Linked DNA regions of Mus musculus. The protein of the gene in region 3 interacts with the protein of the main gene of each other region in a pairwise test. Links are inferred from orthologs where the notes say so. Each region holds a gene or a part of one and is shown on either strand. Other genes may lie near its edges.

What was found.
Region 1: the proteins of Nr4a1 (region 3) and Prdx4 interact in a two-hybrid assay, tested with the Homo sapiens proteins (2 studies listed by BioGRID and IntAct). The link is inferred for Mus musculus from reciprocal best matches to the Homo sapiens genes NR4A1 and PRDX4.
Region 2: the proteins of Nr4a1 (region 3) and Cdkn2d interact in binary tests that used the Homo sapiens proteins (3 or more experiments, as listed by UniProt). The two-hybrid records come from large-scale screens. The link is inferred for Mus musculus from reciprocal best matches to the Homo sapiens genes NR4A1 and CDKN2D.

What each region holds. Positions count from the first base shown.
Region 1 is NC_000086.7:155,334,736-155,341,168, reverse strand, and holds the start of Prdx4 (peroxiredoxin-4 isoform 2 precursor), read left to right. Parts: upstream 1-2,708; 5' UTR 2,709-2,806; coding exon 2,807-3,056; intron 3,057-6,213; coding exon 6,214-6,331; intron 6,332-6,433. UniProt on the Homo sapiens protein: Thiol-specific peroxidase that catalyzes the reduction of hydrogen peroxide and organic hydroperoxides to water and alcohols, respectively.
Region 2 is NC_000075.6:21,287,485-21,293,821, reverse strand, and holds Cdkn2d (cyclin-dependent kinase 4 inhibitor D), read left to right. Parts: upstream 1-2,612; 5' UTR 2,613-2,872; coding exon 2,873-3,013; intron 3,014-4,489; coding exon 4,490-4,849; 3' UTR 4,850-5,359; downstream 5,360-6,337. Other genes in the region: protein KRI1 homolog, read left to right, coding at 5,869-5,962, 6,050-6,123. UniProt on the Homo sapiens protein: Interacts strongly with CDK4 and CDK6 and inhibits them.
Region 3 is NC_000081.6:101,271,421-101,276,297, forward strand, and holds the end of Nr4a1 (nuclear receptor subfamily 4 group A member 1), read left to right. Parts: intron 1-315; coding exon 316-445; intron 446-732; coding exon 733-884; intron 885-1,297; coding exon 1,298-1,500; intron 1,501-1,594; coding exon 1,595-1,773; intron 1,774-2,575; coding exon 2,576-2,832; 3' UTR 2,833-3,375; downstream 3,376-4,877. UniProt on the Homo sapiens protein: Orphan nuclear receptor. Binds the NGFI-B response element (NBRE) 5'-AAAGGTCA-3'. Binds 9-cis-retinoic acid outside of its ligand-binding (NR LBD) domain.

The DNA.
Region 1 (6,433 bases), on a different chromosome or scaffold from region 3:
CATAGTGGACCCTGCTAGTAGATACCCATGGCAATATCAGATAGGGAGTCCACAAGGATATATTGAAACTTTGGCAATCATACAAAGGTATGCACTTTCCCCACAACGTCTGGACTATGTAGGGCCCCCATTAGAAGTCAAAAAACAATATTTGAACAATATCTAGACACTTAGGTGACCAGTGATTAATATTTGTGATATTGTAGATTTCAGAACACTCCCTCTGTGTCTGATAGCATTGCATTTTTAATATTGGTAACCAACTCTAACTGTAAGGTGGGTGCCTTGAGGGTCAGGCCCCTACTTCAATATTTCTGGTGGATACTACTATGACAGCATAATGACTGCTCAAATGTCATTGGCTGAAGGCCTCAGGGCAGGCAGCACTCAAAATGCCAGTCACCAAGAGATTTCAGATCACCTGAAGGACAGAGAGAGAGTAGGTGCCAGGGAGGTGACCAACCTGGTCACTCTCCCCAGTGGGCTGGTGAGTGGTCCCTGGTACCAACTGGGACATCTCAACTTAGCCTAAGATAAAAGAGGTGTAGGGATATATATATATATATATCACTCTTTCCCAGCTTTTTAAACTAATTTCAAACTTAGAGCCACAGCTCAGGGCCTCCAATTTACTAGGGTTAGTGGCTATTTTACAGCCTCCATGGATCACCGTTGCCGTTCACGTGGCATGAGCCACAGTCGAGTCTCTGGATCTCATATCCGAACTCCCAGGGTCCCACTTCCGTTCCATGTTGAGCAGGAGGCTAGGGAAGGAGAAGAATGGGAACGAGAGCTACCTCGTCAGAGGCCTATCATCTACGGACCTCCAGAAAGCGAAGAGTTACAGGAAACTGTAATGAGTAAGCATATTCTCCGAGGGGCGGGGGGAGGGGGCTTCTGGGAACTGAAATATCCTGGACATATGCTTTAAGACTGAGTGAGCTCTGCTGCATCCTGACCTGTGGCACCGCATTTGGTTTTAAAACATACATACCTGGGACACACTTAAGTCACCAAACCGCCCGCTTACCCTATAATTCCTACTGGAAGAGAAAGGCTAGCCAGGAGATACCACTTTTCAGATTAGACCCTTTTATCTCTTGAGTTTTCACCAAACTGAAAAAGACTATGTCTAGAGAGAGAAGTCACGGAGTTTAGTAATAGATCGCTGTAAGGAAAAGAATATTGTTCTAATAGTCATAAAGTATATGTCAATTAAGCTTTGGGAAAGTATGGTTTGAAGGGATTAACGGATCGAACGTGTAGAGGAAGGGAGAGCAGACATAATAACGGTCCATAGTCAGAGGTTTTATATTCAAGATGGGATTAGGGAGCTCGAAAGATGACTCAGAAGTTAAGAGCACTGGACGCTCTTCCAGAGGACAAAGGTTTGATTTCCAGCACCCTCGTGGCAGCTCTCAATTGTCTGTAACTTCTGTTCCAGGGGATCTTTCAATGTCCTCCCCTGGCTTTTATGAATAGCAGGCACACAAGCAGTGAACAGACATATAGACAAAAAAAATTTAAATAGTAATTTTTCAAAACAGGATGAACAGGGTGTAAATCAGTTATGGTTTGGAGTTCATGAAGGCAGCACTAGGGCTGAGGGAGCAGACAGGTGACGTCACAATTCAGTCTGACAAGCTAAAGTGGGACTGAGCCCCTAGGCGCTGGGGCAATAACTCAAGGGCGGCTGGGCATGCCCTAGTGTATCATAGGTAGGAGAGGCAAGGCAGCAGAGGAAGAGGGCTCGATGGGTAATGGGTAGTTATGCTGTGCTATGAGGGGTGACTACGAACTTTACAGCTCTTGACTGGAAAAGCAAATCTTTGAAGCAAAATTAATTCCCCCAAACTTCTTTTTGCCTGTTGGAGGAAAATAAATGGTTAGCTATTTGCTCTCAAGTTTTTCTGGGACTGAAAAGAGCTGAAAAGATGAGTCCTGGCACTGTACAGGCAAATCACTCCGGAGGTTCAGGGGACACATACATGTCTGTTAAGTTCAGCAATTTTGTAGTGTCCATGGCCTAACCCACCCACCCCCTGCCCCCAGCCTCCTAAACCTAGAGTAATCAACAGGCCAAATATAGTCAACCAGTATATTTCAAAATAACTGTTTTGGGTGTTTCCCCATAAAAAGGTAAATGAGTTGGTGACTACATTCCATGTTATATTCATTCAGATGGTGCCCTGTAAGTGCATACAAGTATGATCTGTCAAAAACAAAAACAAAATGAGATGCATGAAAGTGACCTTAATTAGAAGTATAAATTGTGGTGGCACACGCCTTTAATCCCCAGCACTCAGGGAGGCAGGGATAAGTAGATCTCTGCTTGGTCTACAGAGCAAGTTCCAGGGCAGCCAGGGCTACACAGAGAAACCCTGTCTCAAAATAACCACGAAAAGTCTACATTTTAAGTCCTTCACAGGCACATAGGTTAGTGTGAACTTGTGAGGGGATGATGTGAGGGGTAGGGAAGCTCTGTTACAGAGATGGACTTGGAAGTACACCTTCAAGGACAGGGACAGTCAGTGCTCTGGAGATCAGTCACTAGGCACCCGTGCAAACTTCTTTTGTTAAATTGGGAAAACACTTCAGCTTGGCTCTCCTTTTGACGCAGGCGCAGAAGCCCACTGGGGGGGGCGGAGCTTGCGCCCACGTGGCGGAGGGGCGGAGTGGGGCGGAGCAAGTCTCGCGAGGCCGCGCCCTTGGTCGCGCGGTCTCCAGCGCGCCGTTTTAGCTGGCTGCCTGGCGGCAGGGGACTCTGTGCTTTAGCAGAGGGACGTGTTTTCGCGCTTGCTTGGTCATGGAGGCGCGGTCCAAGCTGCTGGACGGGACCACGGCGTCCCGTCGCTGGACCCGAAAGCTGGTGTTGCTCCTGCCGCCGCTGCTGCTGTTCCTGTTGCGGACCGAATCTCTGCAAGGCTTGGAGAGTGATGAACGGTTCCGGACCCGCGAAAATGAGTGCCACTTCTACGCTGGTGGACAAGTGTACCCCGGGGAGGCGTCCCGGGTTTCAGTCGCGGATCACTCCCTGCATCTAAGCAAAGCCAAGAGTAGGTGGTGCCTTGCGAGTTTGGGTGGAGGAGGTAGAACTCGAGGAATCTTAGACCCTAATTGTGGATGCTACAAAAGGGTGGGGCTGGAGTTGGGCCGCACCCCCCCCCCAAGGCTGCCTGGGAGTTCTCGGTCCACCCCATGCCTTTGTGGGTGTGAGGTTGGAGGTGGGTTCCTGGTGTGAAGAAAGAAATGGGTTTCTCTGAACAGATTTCGGGAGAGGTAGCGGTTACCCCCAAAGCCGCAGATGGGGGTGTTTCTAGACCCGGGCTTACAGTCGTGGAGGATGTTGTGCAAACTAAAATACTTCCTTACATATTCGAAAGTGCCTGCAGCCGTCCTATCTCTTTTTTCCAGGGAAGAAAGTACATTGATAAGTTGAATAATGATTCACAGAAAGTTTGGTTAAACAGAAAAGTGGTTAAACAAAATGGTCAGGAGGTCAAACTTTTTTTCTCTTAGCTTATAAAGATTGTTATTGAGAGTCATCTCCCCAAACTTTGTAGAGTTAATAGATGTTTATTTAAAAAAAAAAAAACAAGTCTTATGGAGTATTTTGGAGGGAAACTGGGGAAGAGGCGGAAGAGGCACAGTTGGGTTGGTGGTAAATCTTGTGTACTGCCAATTGGGCTTTTCATTATTTGTCTTTCTGTCTAGTGTTTGAAGCTAGTGGCCACTCTCAGAAAAAGACACGTCAGACTAAGAAGATAGTGAGAAAATTGAGGCCTGCTGCATCTGGATATTAAGATTGCCAAAAAAGTGATCAGGGGACACAGACACAGACCATATATTATTTGCTTTTCCCTAACCCACTTTTCCTAGGGATTATTTGGCATTCTGTGAGTGTGTGTTTGAGTTTTGGTGGTTGTGGCACATTCTGTGCTAGTATTCAGTGAAACAATAGTTATACTTAACATTTTGGGGTCAATTTTTTGGACATGGGGACTGGACAGATCTGACAAAATGGCTTCAAATTCTGTAGTCCTCCTCCTTCAGCTTGCAGAGTGCTGGATTCCAATTGTGCTCTACCACATCTGGCTACTTCACAGTTATGAACCTCTAAAGATAATGGGATGTTGCTACCACAAGCCATAAATGAAAAAGCCAAGCCGATTTGCCTCCGTAAACATTTGTAGTTTCATAGTACAAGTTAACTACTTTGGAATTGGAAGATAGATTTGCTTTAAAAATATTTCTAAGTTTCATTGACTACACTTGCATGAGGAAGATATTCTGAAATGTGCTTACTCAAATACACTTCCTGTTAGAAACAAAAACATTCCAAAGGAGATTTTTGTATTCATAAAAGGGGATATTGTAGAACAATTAAGGCTATTTTTGAATCATTCTAATAAAATGAAAAATATTATAATACATTTTTCTCAATGCAATGAGTGTTAAAAATGAGAATGCAACCTTATCCATATTTGTGTTTGGGAAAAAATGGTTGTAGTTTGAGAGACAGAACATGTAAATTGTCTTCCTTTACTTCTCTGTATTTACCAGAATTCTTATTATCAGGGTTGGGTTTGTTTGTTTGTTTTTTGTTTTTGTTTTTGTTTTTTGAGACAGGTTTTCTCTGTATAGCCCTGGCTGTCCTGGAACTCACTTTGTAGACCAGGCTGGCCTCGAACTCAGAAATCCACCTGCCTCTGCCTCCTGAGTGCTGGGATCAAAGGCGTGCGCCACCACGCCCGGCATAATCAGGGTTGTTAAGGATGTGCTAAGCGTGTTAGGAAGTGTTGCTTGCTCTGTTGAGACAGGGTTTCACTACCAGGTAGCCCTGGCTGTCCTGGAACTCTCTATGTAGACCAATCTGGCCTCGAACTCATAGAGACACACCTGCCACCTCTTTAATTCCTCCTGAATGATGGAATTAAAGGCATGCATCACCACATTTTAAAAAGTAGATGCAAAGGGCTGCTTTGAGAATTGTGTTTAAAGATCTTAGCAAAGTAACTACAATTTTTCAATCAAAAATAAAAATTTGCAATAATCAATTTTCAGGATAAGATTTTTCCTGACATGGTTTTCAGTATATGTAAAATCTTTAAGTAGTGTCATAACAAGTCATTACAGTTATTATAACCTCCTATTTAAGCATTTGAAGTATTGTATATTTTAGCACATTTCTAATTTTCTCATCTGGCCTTTTTTTCTTAACAAATTTTGATTATTTAGGTAGTTTTGACTCAAGGTAAGAAATCACATGTTATAGATTAACTTCAGGAAAATTCGTCCTCAGTTTGTCTCTGTAGTGTGATTTATTGCTGGCTTTTACACAAAAGAATGAGCGTTGATTTTTAGAAACCTTAGTCCAACTTGGAAGCAAGTATTGATCTCATTATATGTAATGGGTTTGGAAGTGTTATATGACTGTATCAATAGCAAGAGTGGACATAATTATCAAACGGTGCTGGCTAGAGTCACAGCATGCCCTTATAAGACAGCAGCACTATTAAATTGACATCAGGTCACTCGAAACCTGTTCATGGTTGGGGCGATGTCTCCTTTTTCACAGCCTTCTAGGGAAACTCCCATGATCTGGGATAATTTGAAGAAGCTAGAGTGAAATATCCAGTCCGGTTCAGTGCAGGGATAAGATTTAAGACTTTGTGGGATGGGCAGAGACATATTTCACATTTTATTCTGTCTAATGTTTGTTAATACAGTAACCATAAAAAATTCTATATAAAAAGTATTTTCACTGTTTCCTCCTATTACAGATATGTGCAATAACTCACACTCGCTCCAGAAGTACTTGATTGTACCTGTTGCCCCTGCATTGCAGAGACTTTCGTGCTGTGTAATAGCTATTGCAGGAATCCTGACAATGATATCTTACAGACTTATACGATCACTCCTACATCTTGCACCTTGATGGTGCTGTGACTAAACACACATTATTACTCCATCACTAACTTTTAAAATGTTTATACTCACATTTCTGTGTAATTGGTTTCCTTTGTAATTCTTTGTATCTTTTTATTCTCTGACAATAAGTTATTGTTCTAAGTTCTCAGAAGTCTGTGAGCTTCCAGACTTCCAATGAAGTTCAAAGATTTAGAAGTCCCAATTTTTAGTGTTTTTCTAAAACAGTCCTTGGCCATTCCAACAACTTTCTCAGTGTTATAGACCCTTGTTTTTCTTTCTTAGTCTCCAAGCCAGCACCTTATTGGGAAGGAACAGCTGTGATTAACGGAGAATTCAAGGAGCTCAAACTGACTGACTATCGTGGGAAATACTTGGTTTTTTTCTTCTACCCACTGGATTTGTAAGTAATACATACGCACAAGTAGCTACTAATAAAGTGCCAGTCTTTGTCATTTGTTATCCAAGAGCCACAAATAAGTTTTTCAGATGATGGTTCTTAATA
Region 2 (6,337 bases), on a different chromosome or scaffold from region 3:
GGGATGGGACAGATGGCCACCTCAGGAGCTGTGTCTGTGGGCTGAGAGAGATGGCCACCTCAGGAGCTGTGTCTGTGGGCTGAGAGAGATGGCCACCTCAGGAGCTGTGTCTGTGGGATGGGACAGATGGCCACCTCAGGAGCTGTGTCTGTGGGCTGAGAGAGATGGCCACCTCAGGAGCTGTGTCTGTGGGCTGAGAGAGATGGCCACCTCAGGAGCTGTGTCTGTGGGATGGGACAGATGGCCACTTCAGGAGCTTCTTGGTAAAACTTACCTCCCAGAACCACATGGCAGACCTGGTCAGGCCGAGTTTCTGTTCAACAAGGACTGCTTAACCTGAGCTAGACCATGATTCTTTTCTCAGTAATTAACATTTCTAGCTTTAGTCTATTTTGAGGGGGAGGGATTATTTTCATTTGTTTTCGAGACAGGGTTTCTTTGTGTAGCCCGAACTGTGCTGGAACTCACTTTGTGGACCCGACTTGCATTGAACTCAAAGATTCGTCTGCCTCTGGGAATGAAGGCCTGAGACACAACATTCCCCCCCACCCCCCACCCCCACCCCATAGGCTTTAGTCTATAGACGTGGTGGCAGAGACCTGTAATCCCAGCACTCAGGAGATAGAGGCAGGATGATCAGGAATTTGAGATTAGTCTAGATGTAGTAAATTTGAGGCCAGCCTAAGCTATAAAAGACCTTGTCTCAATAAAAAAAATGTTAGGGGCAGTAGCTTATAGATCAGTTAGTAGAGTGATTTCGTCACCTCCATGAAGCCCTGGGCTCCATGTACAGCACTACATGGACTGTACCATAGTAGCACTTGGGAGTGGCATTCAGAGGCTCGGGTGTTATCCTTGGCTACATATTGCAATTGGAGTCCAGCCTGGGCTATATAAGACCCTTAAAAAAGAAAAAAAAGAAAACCTTAAAAGATAATTGCCGGGCTGGTGAGATGGTTCAGCGGGTAAGAGCACCTGACTGCTCTTCCGAAGGTCCGGAGTTCAAATCCCGGCAACCACATGGTGGCTCACAATCTGTAACAAGATCTGACGCCCTCTTCTGGAGTGTCTGAGGACAGCTACAGTGTACTTGCATATAATAAATAAATAAATCTTTAAAAAAAAAAAAAAAAAGACAATTGCCAGACTGGAGAAATGAGATGGCTCACCAGTTAAGAGCACTGGCTTCTTGCTCCTCCAAAGGACCTGGGTTTAATTCCCAGCACCCACATGGCAGCTCAGTTCTAGATTCGGCACCCTCACACAGACATGCATGCAGGCAAAACAGCAATGCACATAAAAAATAAAAAGGAGTCAGGCAGTAGTGGGGCACGCCTTTAATACTATGCACTTGGGAGGCAAAGGCAGGCAGGTGAAGAACAGTCTGGCCTACATAGGGAGTTCTAGGACAGCCAGAATTACATACTAAGACCCTATCTTGAAAAACGTAGAAAAATCTAAAAGAGAATTATTACAATATGTGGCTATTTGATTGTCTATATGTGCACCATGTTGGTATAGGTCAGAAGAGGGTGTTGGATCTCTGAAGCTGGAGTTACTGATGGCTAAACTGTCACATGGTTGCTGATATTGAATCCTAAATCTTCTACAAAAGCATTGATCCATCTTTCAGGTTCTATAAATAAATAAATAAATAAATAAATAAATAAATAAATAAGTAAATAAATTAAAGGAGACCATCTTGGTAGCCCATTCCTTTAATCCCAGCACGAATGGCAGAGGAGGCAGGTGGATTTTGAGTTCAAACAGATCAAATAAGTTTCAGGCCAGCCAAGGCTACACAGAGAGACCCTGCCGCAGAAACATAAAAACAAACAAAAGTCGGGCGGTGGTGGCCTTTAATCCCAGCATTTGGGAGGCAGAGGCAGGCGGATTTTTGAGTTCGAGGCCAGCCTGGTCTACAGAGTGAGTTCCAGGACAGCCGGGGATACACAGAGAAACCCTGTCTCGAAAAAACCAAAACCAGCCAACCAAACAAAAATGTTAGAAGGCACCGCGCTTTACCACTCAGAAGCCGTTCCTTTAACCCAGCAGTCGAATGAATGAACTAAGCTCCGAGTTTCACAGTAAGAGCTTGCTTATTAGCATTTCCGCGGTCCGTGAATGACTAAAATGTTCCAGTTATAGGAGTTTCCAGTCCTGCCTCCCTTCCTCCCGGAGGCGCTAAAGATCCAAGATGGGCCCGCGCCAGCCTGTCTCCAGCCTCTCCGCTGGGGTCAGTTAAACCTCCTCCTCTTTCCCGCCCGCCCGCCGGTTTTGAAAAACCAAAATTCCTGCTGTGGCGGGCAGCTCCACTGGTCGCTGCACGCTGACCAATCAGGAGCCACGCCACTGCTACGGGAGAGACAAACCTCCCCAGCAACGCGTGCTGATTGGCTGTTATTCCCAGCAGGCGGGACTAATGGAGGTCGGGCTCTGGGCAAAGTGGCTCTCGCTACTCTGTTGCGAGTTTGTAAGAAAACAAGGGCGCTCTGGGCGGGGCCTGGGGCGGGCTTGCCTCGCCCACTAGCGGCTGACTCTGGCGGCCAGTACAGTGCCGGCTCAGAGCAGACCCCGCCCGCGCAAGGAAAGGAGGGAGGGTGAGTCTGGGGAGACCCGGCCCAAGGGGCGGGCGCCGAAGGGCTGGGCGGGGTTCCCCGCTGCCTCTCTCGGTGACAGGGGGAGGAGCTAGCTGCGAGCGCTGGGGTCGTACGGGCGGAGGGCGCAGGCTCTGAGGCCGGCAAATGATCATAGAGTTGGCCCTGGTGGCACCGCAGTCCCTAGAGTTCTGATCCAGCTCTTGCTGGTTCCCCAGCCCTGACCTTAACTGGGCTTGGGGCTGGGTGGGTTTCACAGTCCACCGGTATCCACTATGCTTCTGGAAGAAGTCTGCGTCGGCGACCGGTTGAGTGGCGCAGCGGCCCGTGGCGACGTGCAAGAGGTCCGCCGCCTTCTTCACCGGGAGCTGGTGCATCCTGACGCCCTGAACCGCTTTGGCAAGACGGCCTTGCAGGTGAGGCCTGGCTGGCACCCGGCCCCCACACCCCATCCCTACAAGTCTCCTGACCCGGGTTGGTGATCCCTTAAGGTTTAGTCCTTGCTTGCTCTGATGTTGGGTGGGTGGTGAGGATGCGATGGGGGAGGGGATGGCTTTTCAGCTCTTGTCTAATAGCCTGACAGATTCAGTTTCCCTGCAGACCTTTATTCTGTGGGTTCATCTTCTTTTCGTGCCAGTCCTTGAGGACAGCTCATATTTCTTGAGGCTCCTTAAAGATATTCGATCTCTGGAAGATGGCATGCATGTCTTCTCCAAGGGAGATAGCCTTTTTTTTTTTTTTTTTTGAGGTGCCCTCTTGAAGGATCTCTGGTTATTTCAGGGACATCTTCATTTCGGCAGGTGATGTAGATTTTTTCCCCTTTTGTATCTTCTGCGTGCCTAGTAACAAAAACGATTCCTTATTGCTTGAAGGTCCCGTAATTTGGGTGGCATTTATAGGAGAGTCCCACCTTTTCATGGGTACTCATACATTCTGAAGATCATGCCTATGTCTAAGGAAGTTATTTCTCGACAAAGGGGATCCAAATTGTCTAGAGCATCTCTTTCTCAAAAATTCTATGTAGTTCCCAGATTGTAGTGTTGAAGGGGCTTTACAGCCCTAATGATATGGGACTGCTCTGGCCTCAAAGAGGCTTTAGACGCCTTCCTGGTTCTCTCTCTCTCTCTCTCTCTTCAAGACAGGGTTTTTCAGTGTAGCCCTGGCTGTCCTGAAACTCACTCTGTAGACCAGGCTGGCCTTGAACACAGAAATCTGCCTGCCTCTGCCTCCCGAGTGCTGGGATTAAAGGCGTGCGCCACCACTGCCTGGCCCGGTTCCCTTTCTCATCCATTCTCTTTACTTCTCTTGCTTCTTCATTTTCTTTTTTTATTTCTGAGACAAAGTCTCACTTTGCATCTCAGACTGGCCTTGAACTTGAGACTGTCCTCCTGCCTGAGCCTCTGAGGTCCTGGGATTATGAAAGCGTCACTATGCCTGGCTTTTTAATGTTTTCATGAGAGTCACTTTTATAGTTAGGGCTTTTTGTTGTTGTGTTGTTGTTCTTAAGAGAACTTTGGGCTACACAGTAGTGACACAAATTAATCCAGCACTTAATCTTTAATCCCAGCACTTGGGAGGCAGATGCAGGTGGATCTCTGAGAATTTGAGACCAACCTGGTCTACAGAGAGAATTCCAGGACATCCAGAAAGACATCCTGTCTCCGACAAGGATGGGGGTGGGGCTTAGAAGGTGTGTGTGTGGGGGTGTCCTTATTTTCAAAGAACCTGTTCTCTGGGGTCCCAGTCTGATCCCTTGGGTCCTGACTTTCCTGGGGGCGTCCCCATTCCCTAAGGATCCCTTCTCTGTGCTCTGGATTTGTGGTAGACCTCTTTATTCTACCTGACCCTTCTCCAATGGGAACCTCCTGACTTTCTCCTCCCCACCCCCATAGGTCATGATGTTTGGAAGTCCAGCAGTTGCTTTGGAGCTCCTGAAGCAAGGTGCCAGCCCCAATGTCCAAGATGCCTCCGGTACTAGTCCTGTGCATGATGCGGCTCGCACCGGGTTCCTGGACACCCTGAAGGTTCTGGTGGAGCATGGTGCTGATGTCAATGCCCTGGACAGCACTGGGTCGCTCCCCATCCATCTGGCGATAAGAGAGGGCCATAGCTCCGTGGTCAGCTTCCTAGCTCCTGAATCTGATCTCCACCACAGGGACGCTTCCGGTCTCACTCCCCTGGAGTTGGCTCGGCAGAGAGGGGCTCAGAACCTCATGGACATTCTGCAGGGGCACATGATGATCCCAATGTGACCCAAGGCCACTGTCTCCAGCCTTACTGGGTTACTTGTCAACAAAAGAGGAAAGAAACTTTCTCTTTTCACACCTGTCCATTGAAGAAGGGAGTGGGAGGAGCAGTTTGTGGTTTATTGGTGTTGATTTCTTGAGTGTGTGTGTTTGGGGGGTGTTTCTCATTTGTTTTTCTCACCCCTTTTGGTGTGTTGGACAAAGAAGGGGCTCCTACAGGCAACAGCCATCTAAACGGTTCAGTTTCCTCTGCACTGGGGCTGCACCAGGGCAGGGGTTTAAAGCCCTAGCCTCAGAGTGAGGTCATCACTTCCCGGGCCCCTTGGAAGCTGGTGACCTTGGCAGGCTGTGCTCAGAGAGCCCTGAAGTGTGAGCCATCTACTTTGGGCATGTGAGGGGGAAGGGAAAGCATTTCAAATCAATTAAAAGGATAACATGAGTTCATTTTTCTTTCTTGGAAGGTTTCCAGTCTGTTGTACAGAGTTTGAAATATAAATATTTATTGCTTTATGGAAAGAAATTGTTTTGTGTGATTATTTTATGTTTTGGCCCATTAAACTAAGACAGCGATGATGACTTCAGATTTAGGAGTCTGGAATGGGGTGGGTATTCGGAGGGTAGGATGGGACTATGGATGGTGTAGGGTGCTGGGGTTGTCGACACGGTCATTCCCAGGGCGTCAGGGTAACTGAGTTGGGTGGGGCAGCGGTCGGGTGCTGTCGGAACGGAAGAGAGGCAGGAAACCGCGAGTGTAGAAAGGGGCCCCCAGATGTCAGCTGGGTGCCGGGAGCCGTCAGGGTGGAGAAGGGTGGGCGGTGGCTTGTGGCCTTTCCCCGCAGAGGCTTGTCCCGGTGGGTGTGGCCTGCTGAGCAAAAGGCCTACGGGATCCTGGAAGAACGGAGGGTGGAGCAAACTGCGTCTGCAGTGGACATGCTCCTTAAGAAAAGCCCTCAGGGGGCGTGCCGGAGAGAAGCCACACCCCGGAGGGGCGGTTGCACGCGTGCGCGCTAGGTCTCACAGCCGCCATGCCGGAACCGCGCGCCTCTGGGTGCCTAAAGGTGAACGCAGCGTTTGCTGCGCGCTACAGCCGTTACCGCGAGCGTGAGGAACTTCAGCGACGTGAGTGAGGGGCGCCTGCGCAGGCCAAGGTGTGGGGAACTGGGTCTGGTGATGGTAGCTATGAGGAACCCCGTGTATATTCCACAGTGAAAGATCGCTATGGAGATCCGGACGTCGGTGGCGACTCCAGTTCCGAGTCTGACTCCAGCGATGAGCATGTGGTGAGCTTCCGCAACCCGGCTTCGCGTCCTACCCATGTACATGGGGCTTTCCCTAACCGGGCTTGGTTGTCCCGGAGTCTTCAGGACCCGCCCCCATGCGTAGAGTGACAGGCAGTACCCTCCTCAACTCAGGGATCGCCAAATACATCCTCCTTTCTGGAAGAGACTCCAAGCCTCCCAACCACTGAGCTCTCAGTTGGATGCACAGAGGTGC
Region 3 (4,877 bases):
GGGCAGGTGGACACATGCAGACACCTGTTAGAACAGGTGTCTGGACGGCCGTGGGAGTTCCTAGACCCTGGTCTTGGGTTCTGGGATCTTCCCTGTGAGGTTGAAACCTTCTCCAGTATCTCCCAGACTCCTCTCTGCGCTCTGGCCCTCCGTTTCTCCCTCCCCTACATCCAAATGTTAGGAAAATAGCTATGAACAGAGGGCGCTTTTGTCTGCGTCGGCCACAGGATCTGGACGGTCCCCTCCCCTGGGCTCTCCACCCCCCCCCCAAACCCCATGCTCTGACAGCCTGTTCCGTGTCCCCCCTTCCTCCAGCGCACAGTACAGAAAAGCGCCAAGTACATCTGCCTGGCAAACAAGGATTGCCCTGTGGACAAGAGGCGGCGGAACCGCTGCCAGTTCTGCCGCTTCCAGAAGTGCCTGGCTGTGGGCATGGTGAAGGAAGGTGGGTGGCAAGATGGTGCCCTCGGCATAGGCGACCTGATGGGGTGGGACAGCCGGGCTCACCAGGATCTGCACCTAATTCCCACTCCCACTTCTAGATTCCAGCCCCTAAATGCAGGTGTAGCTTCCACCTGCTTTCTGGAAAGGGTGGGGTGAGGAGGGCCTTGTGGGGTCCCCATCATGGTCTGAGTTCTCTGTCTCTGACTTCTCAGAAGTGGGGTGTATAGTGTGCCCTGAAGACCCTCCTTCTCCAGGTCTCCTTTCTCAATACTGCCCGTCTCTCTGCAGTTGTACGGACAGACAGCCTAAAAGGGCGGCGGGGCCGGCTACCTTCAAAACCCAAGCAGCCTCCAGATGCCTCCCCTACCAATCTTCTCACTTCCCTCATCCGGGCACACTTGGACTCCGGGCCTAGCACTGCCAAATTGGACTATTCCAAGGTGAGGTCTTGCCCGCCCATCTGCCCTGCCCTGAGAACATATGCAATGCCTTTGTGCCTGTTAGGAAAGGCTCTCCCTCCAGGGCAACATCAGGAAACAAGCATCCTCTATGTACTGGCTAGTTGGAGAAATGCATTGGGATGGGTGTGGGGTCGGGGAGCCAGTTACAAACAGCTGCCGTAGCCCTGTTTTCCTGTGGGAATTGACAAGCACATGGGCCCAGAATAGGGCTCTTTTGCACGCCTGGATCTGGTGTCCCAGTGCATGAGAGCTCTGTAATGCAGCTTGTGTAGGCTTTGCTGTGGACCCAATGCAGGACACAGCTGTGTGATGCAGGCCTTGCTGTGGAGCCAGTGCGTGACACAGCTGTGTGGTGCAGGCCCTCATGTGGAACTTACCTGCGTTCCTTTCAGTTCCAGGAACTGGTGCTGCCCCGCTTCGGGAAGGAAGATGCCGGTGACGTGCAACAATTTTATGACTTGCTCTCTGGTTCCCTGGACGTTATCCGAAAGTGGGCAGAAAAAATCCCTGGCTTCATTGAGCTTTGCCCAGGAGACCAAGACCTGTTGCTAGAGTCTGCCTTCCTGGAACTCTTCATCCTCCGCCTGGCATACCGGTAAGCTGCCCACCATCCTCCTAGCCCTGGCCCCAGCCCTGCGGCCCCGGCCTGCCTGGACCCTGAGTCCTGACTGTTCTCTGCCTTCTGCCAGATCTAAACCCGGTGAGGGGAAGCTCATCTTCTGCTCAGGCCTGGTACTACACCAGCTGCAGTGTGCCCGTGGCTTTGGTGATTGGATTGACAACATCCTGGCCTTCTCACGGTCCCTGCACAGCTTGGGTGTTGATGTTCCCGCCTTTGCCTGCCTGTCCGCTCTGGTCCTCATCACTGGTGAGTGGCAGAAACTAGACTGGGCCCAAGGGTTGCAGGACCATTGGGTAGGTAGCATCTAACACTTTGGGGACCCCTAGAGTGCCTGCAACATTGGGATGTTAGGACCTGCAAAGGGACTTAGCTCTATTCGCCCCTAAAGCTTAAATCAGCCTCCGAATGACCCCGGACTCCTCAGGTACGACTGTAGGCGCTGGGCATCTAGCTTAGGGATTCTGTTTGTTTAAAAACCTAGCTGTCAACCTCACAAGACACAGGAACGTGCACACATGAATTTTTCACATTCTGCGCTTGGATAGCTATCGCCATGGTCCAGAAACAGGACCTACTTCAGCTCTGTTGGGCTCCCTCCTTATTGTCTCTGTAAGAGGTAACCACTCTGCCAGCCTCAGTGGCATTCCTGTCATGGATTTTACTGTGCGTATCACAGGGTATGGACTCTAGTGTTAAATGTAGAGGTTTCTGGGTCCCTTCTGCTTCCGCTCCCATTTCCACTTAAATTTCTTAGGGGATCCTCCTGAGTAGATCAAGACCAGGAGCTGGATCTTGAAAGGGTAGGGAGTGATATCTACACCCAGCTCGTCCTTAGTCTGTCCTGCGAGACTCCAGGATTTTAGAACAGTGTGGAGCCTGGACCTCCAGAAAACCTGGATTAGGCTTTTGCCTTGGCCAGCCATTCAGTGGTTTCAAATATTGACCAGTCTGGACAGTGGGCTCCTGTGGGACGTGCTAGAGGGCTGGGGAAGCTTGTCAGGGAGAAGGCGTCAACTGAGCGGGGCTGACTCTACCTTCCCTGCTGCAGATCGACACGGGCTCCAGGACCCTCGTCGGGTGGAAGAGCTGCAGAATCGCATTGCTAGCTGTCTGAAGGAGCACATGGCTACCGTGGCAGGAGACCCACAGCCGGCCAGCTGCCTGTCACGTCTGCTGGGCAAACTGCCTGAGCTTCGGACCCTGTGCACTCAAGGCCTGCAGCGCATCTTTTGCCTCAAGTTGGAGGACTTGGTACCCCCTCCACCTATTGTGGACAAGATCTTTATGGACACATTGTCTTTCTGACCCCTGCCCTGAACATGTGTGCGCACACGTGCGTGCTCTTCTGTCACCCATGTGCCTTTAAGCCTATAGCCCACGGACCCCCAGACCACCCTACCCCCAGCCTGGTTTTGAGCTAAGACTGACGTACCTCCTCACTCCAGAAGATGGACAGAGAACTCAAGACCTGGGGGAGGGTGTGTATTCACGGGGGTGACCCCACTATTTGTCTTATCCCTCCAGCTCAGTCCTGGCCTTCGTGTGTTTTTGTAAGATAAACCATTTTTAACACATACCACTCTGTTGTAAATAAGCTGACGCTACTGTAAATACAGAAAGGAAGAGGTTGAGATGGGGGTTGGGAGGAAGGGGTGGGGCTCCCACCAGCTGGGCGAGCCTCCAACTCGAGATCTCTTCCGCTCTCCTTCCATGTGTACATAACTGTCACTCAAGAAGGTGATTGACAGATTCTGATTTATATTTGTGTATTTTCCTGGATTTATAGGATGTGACTTTTCTGATTAATATATTTAATATATTGAATAAAAAATAGACATGTAGTTGAAATTGAGTCTTTTTTTCTGTTTTTGTTTTTTGTTTTTTTTTTTTTGTTTTTGTTTTTGTTTTTTTGTTTTGTTTTTCGAGACAGGGTTTCTCTGTATAGCCCTGGCTGTCCTGGAGCTCACTTTGTAGACCAGGCTGGCCTCGAACTCAGAAATCCGCCTGCCTCTGCCTCCCGAGTGCTGGGATTAAAGGCGTGCACCACCATGCCTGGCTTTTTCTGACAGCACTAGACATTTTGCCATGATTATATAAGAGACAGCAGTAGCCCTGGGCAAATCTTAGCTGTTGCCAGTGATCTGGTCAGCCTGGGTTACTTACCTGTAGGTGATAGGTCATGATGAAGCCTGCTTCATGCAGCCATTTAGGAGAACTCTGGGACTAGCTTGCCTTTCTCACACAAACACCTGTCTCACCATGGTGCCCGGATGGTTTAGACTTGCTGTGTAGCTTGGCTAGTTTCAAGCTGTCAGTCTTCCTATCTCCACTTCCTGAGTGTTGGGATTATAGATGTTCACCCTACACATGCATCGGGAGCTAGTTCCTAATGTGGGAAGCCTCTGGTTACCGCTGGCTGCCAGACCTCAGTGGACAGCGGCTAACCCAGGGACTAGAGCAGCAAGATAGACCTGGCCTTGGGTCTCAGGTCTGTCTCTTAGCCTTCTGACCTGGGGATAAATAAAGGACAATTTATGAATTAGAACTATTTTTTAAGTATTTAAAAAAATATCTATTGGCACACATCTTTAATCCCAGTACTCGGGAGGCGGAGGCAGGCACATCTCTGAGTTTGTGGCTAGCCTGATCTACAAATAGAGTTCCAGGCCAACCAAGGCTACATGGAGAAACCCTGTGTTGAAAAAAATAGTGTACTCAAGTACATGTGTGTGTATATATGTGTGCGCACACGTGCCATTGCAAGCGTGTGGAAGTTAAAAGACAAGTTGTAGAAGCCAGGTCTGTCCTGCTTTGAGAGACGTTAGATCATCCAGCTTAGTAGAAAGCACTTTCACCTCCCGAGTCCCCTCACCAGTTCCGTTTTATTTTGGGGTGATGGAGTGGGAGGGGTGATGCTGAGGTCTCCCAGACACCCCACAAGCACTCTACCACTAGGCCAGGCTTCTCACTTCTCGGTTTGCACATTTGTAAGAACAGAAAGAGGAATAGACCTAGCCTTTTAGTATCAGAGAGAGTTTTGATGTGTGGTGAGTCTAAAAACTACTAGCTGATGTTCATGTGGGTTTTGTTGGATCTATATTCTTAGAGTCCCCCTACTGTCTGCCAACCCCAGGAGCAGGATCTATGCAGCCAACAGTCCTTGGATTCTTGGCAGGTAGATTGTTCTGAAGTGATTACCAGTACCCAAGGGTCCTATCCAACTCTCTAGCTCCTGTGTTTATCTGCCTCTCCCTTGGGGGCTTAGAGGCAAGGTTCTGGCACTATACCTCAGTGAAGGAATATTTGCCTTAAATGGTTGAGTTCCAGATTTGATACCCAGCACTGGGGGT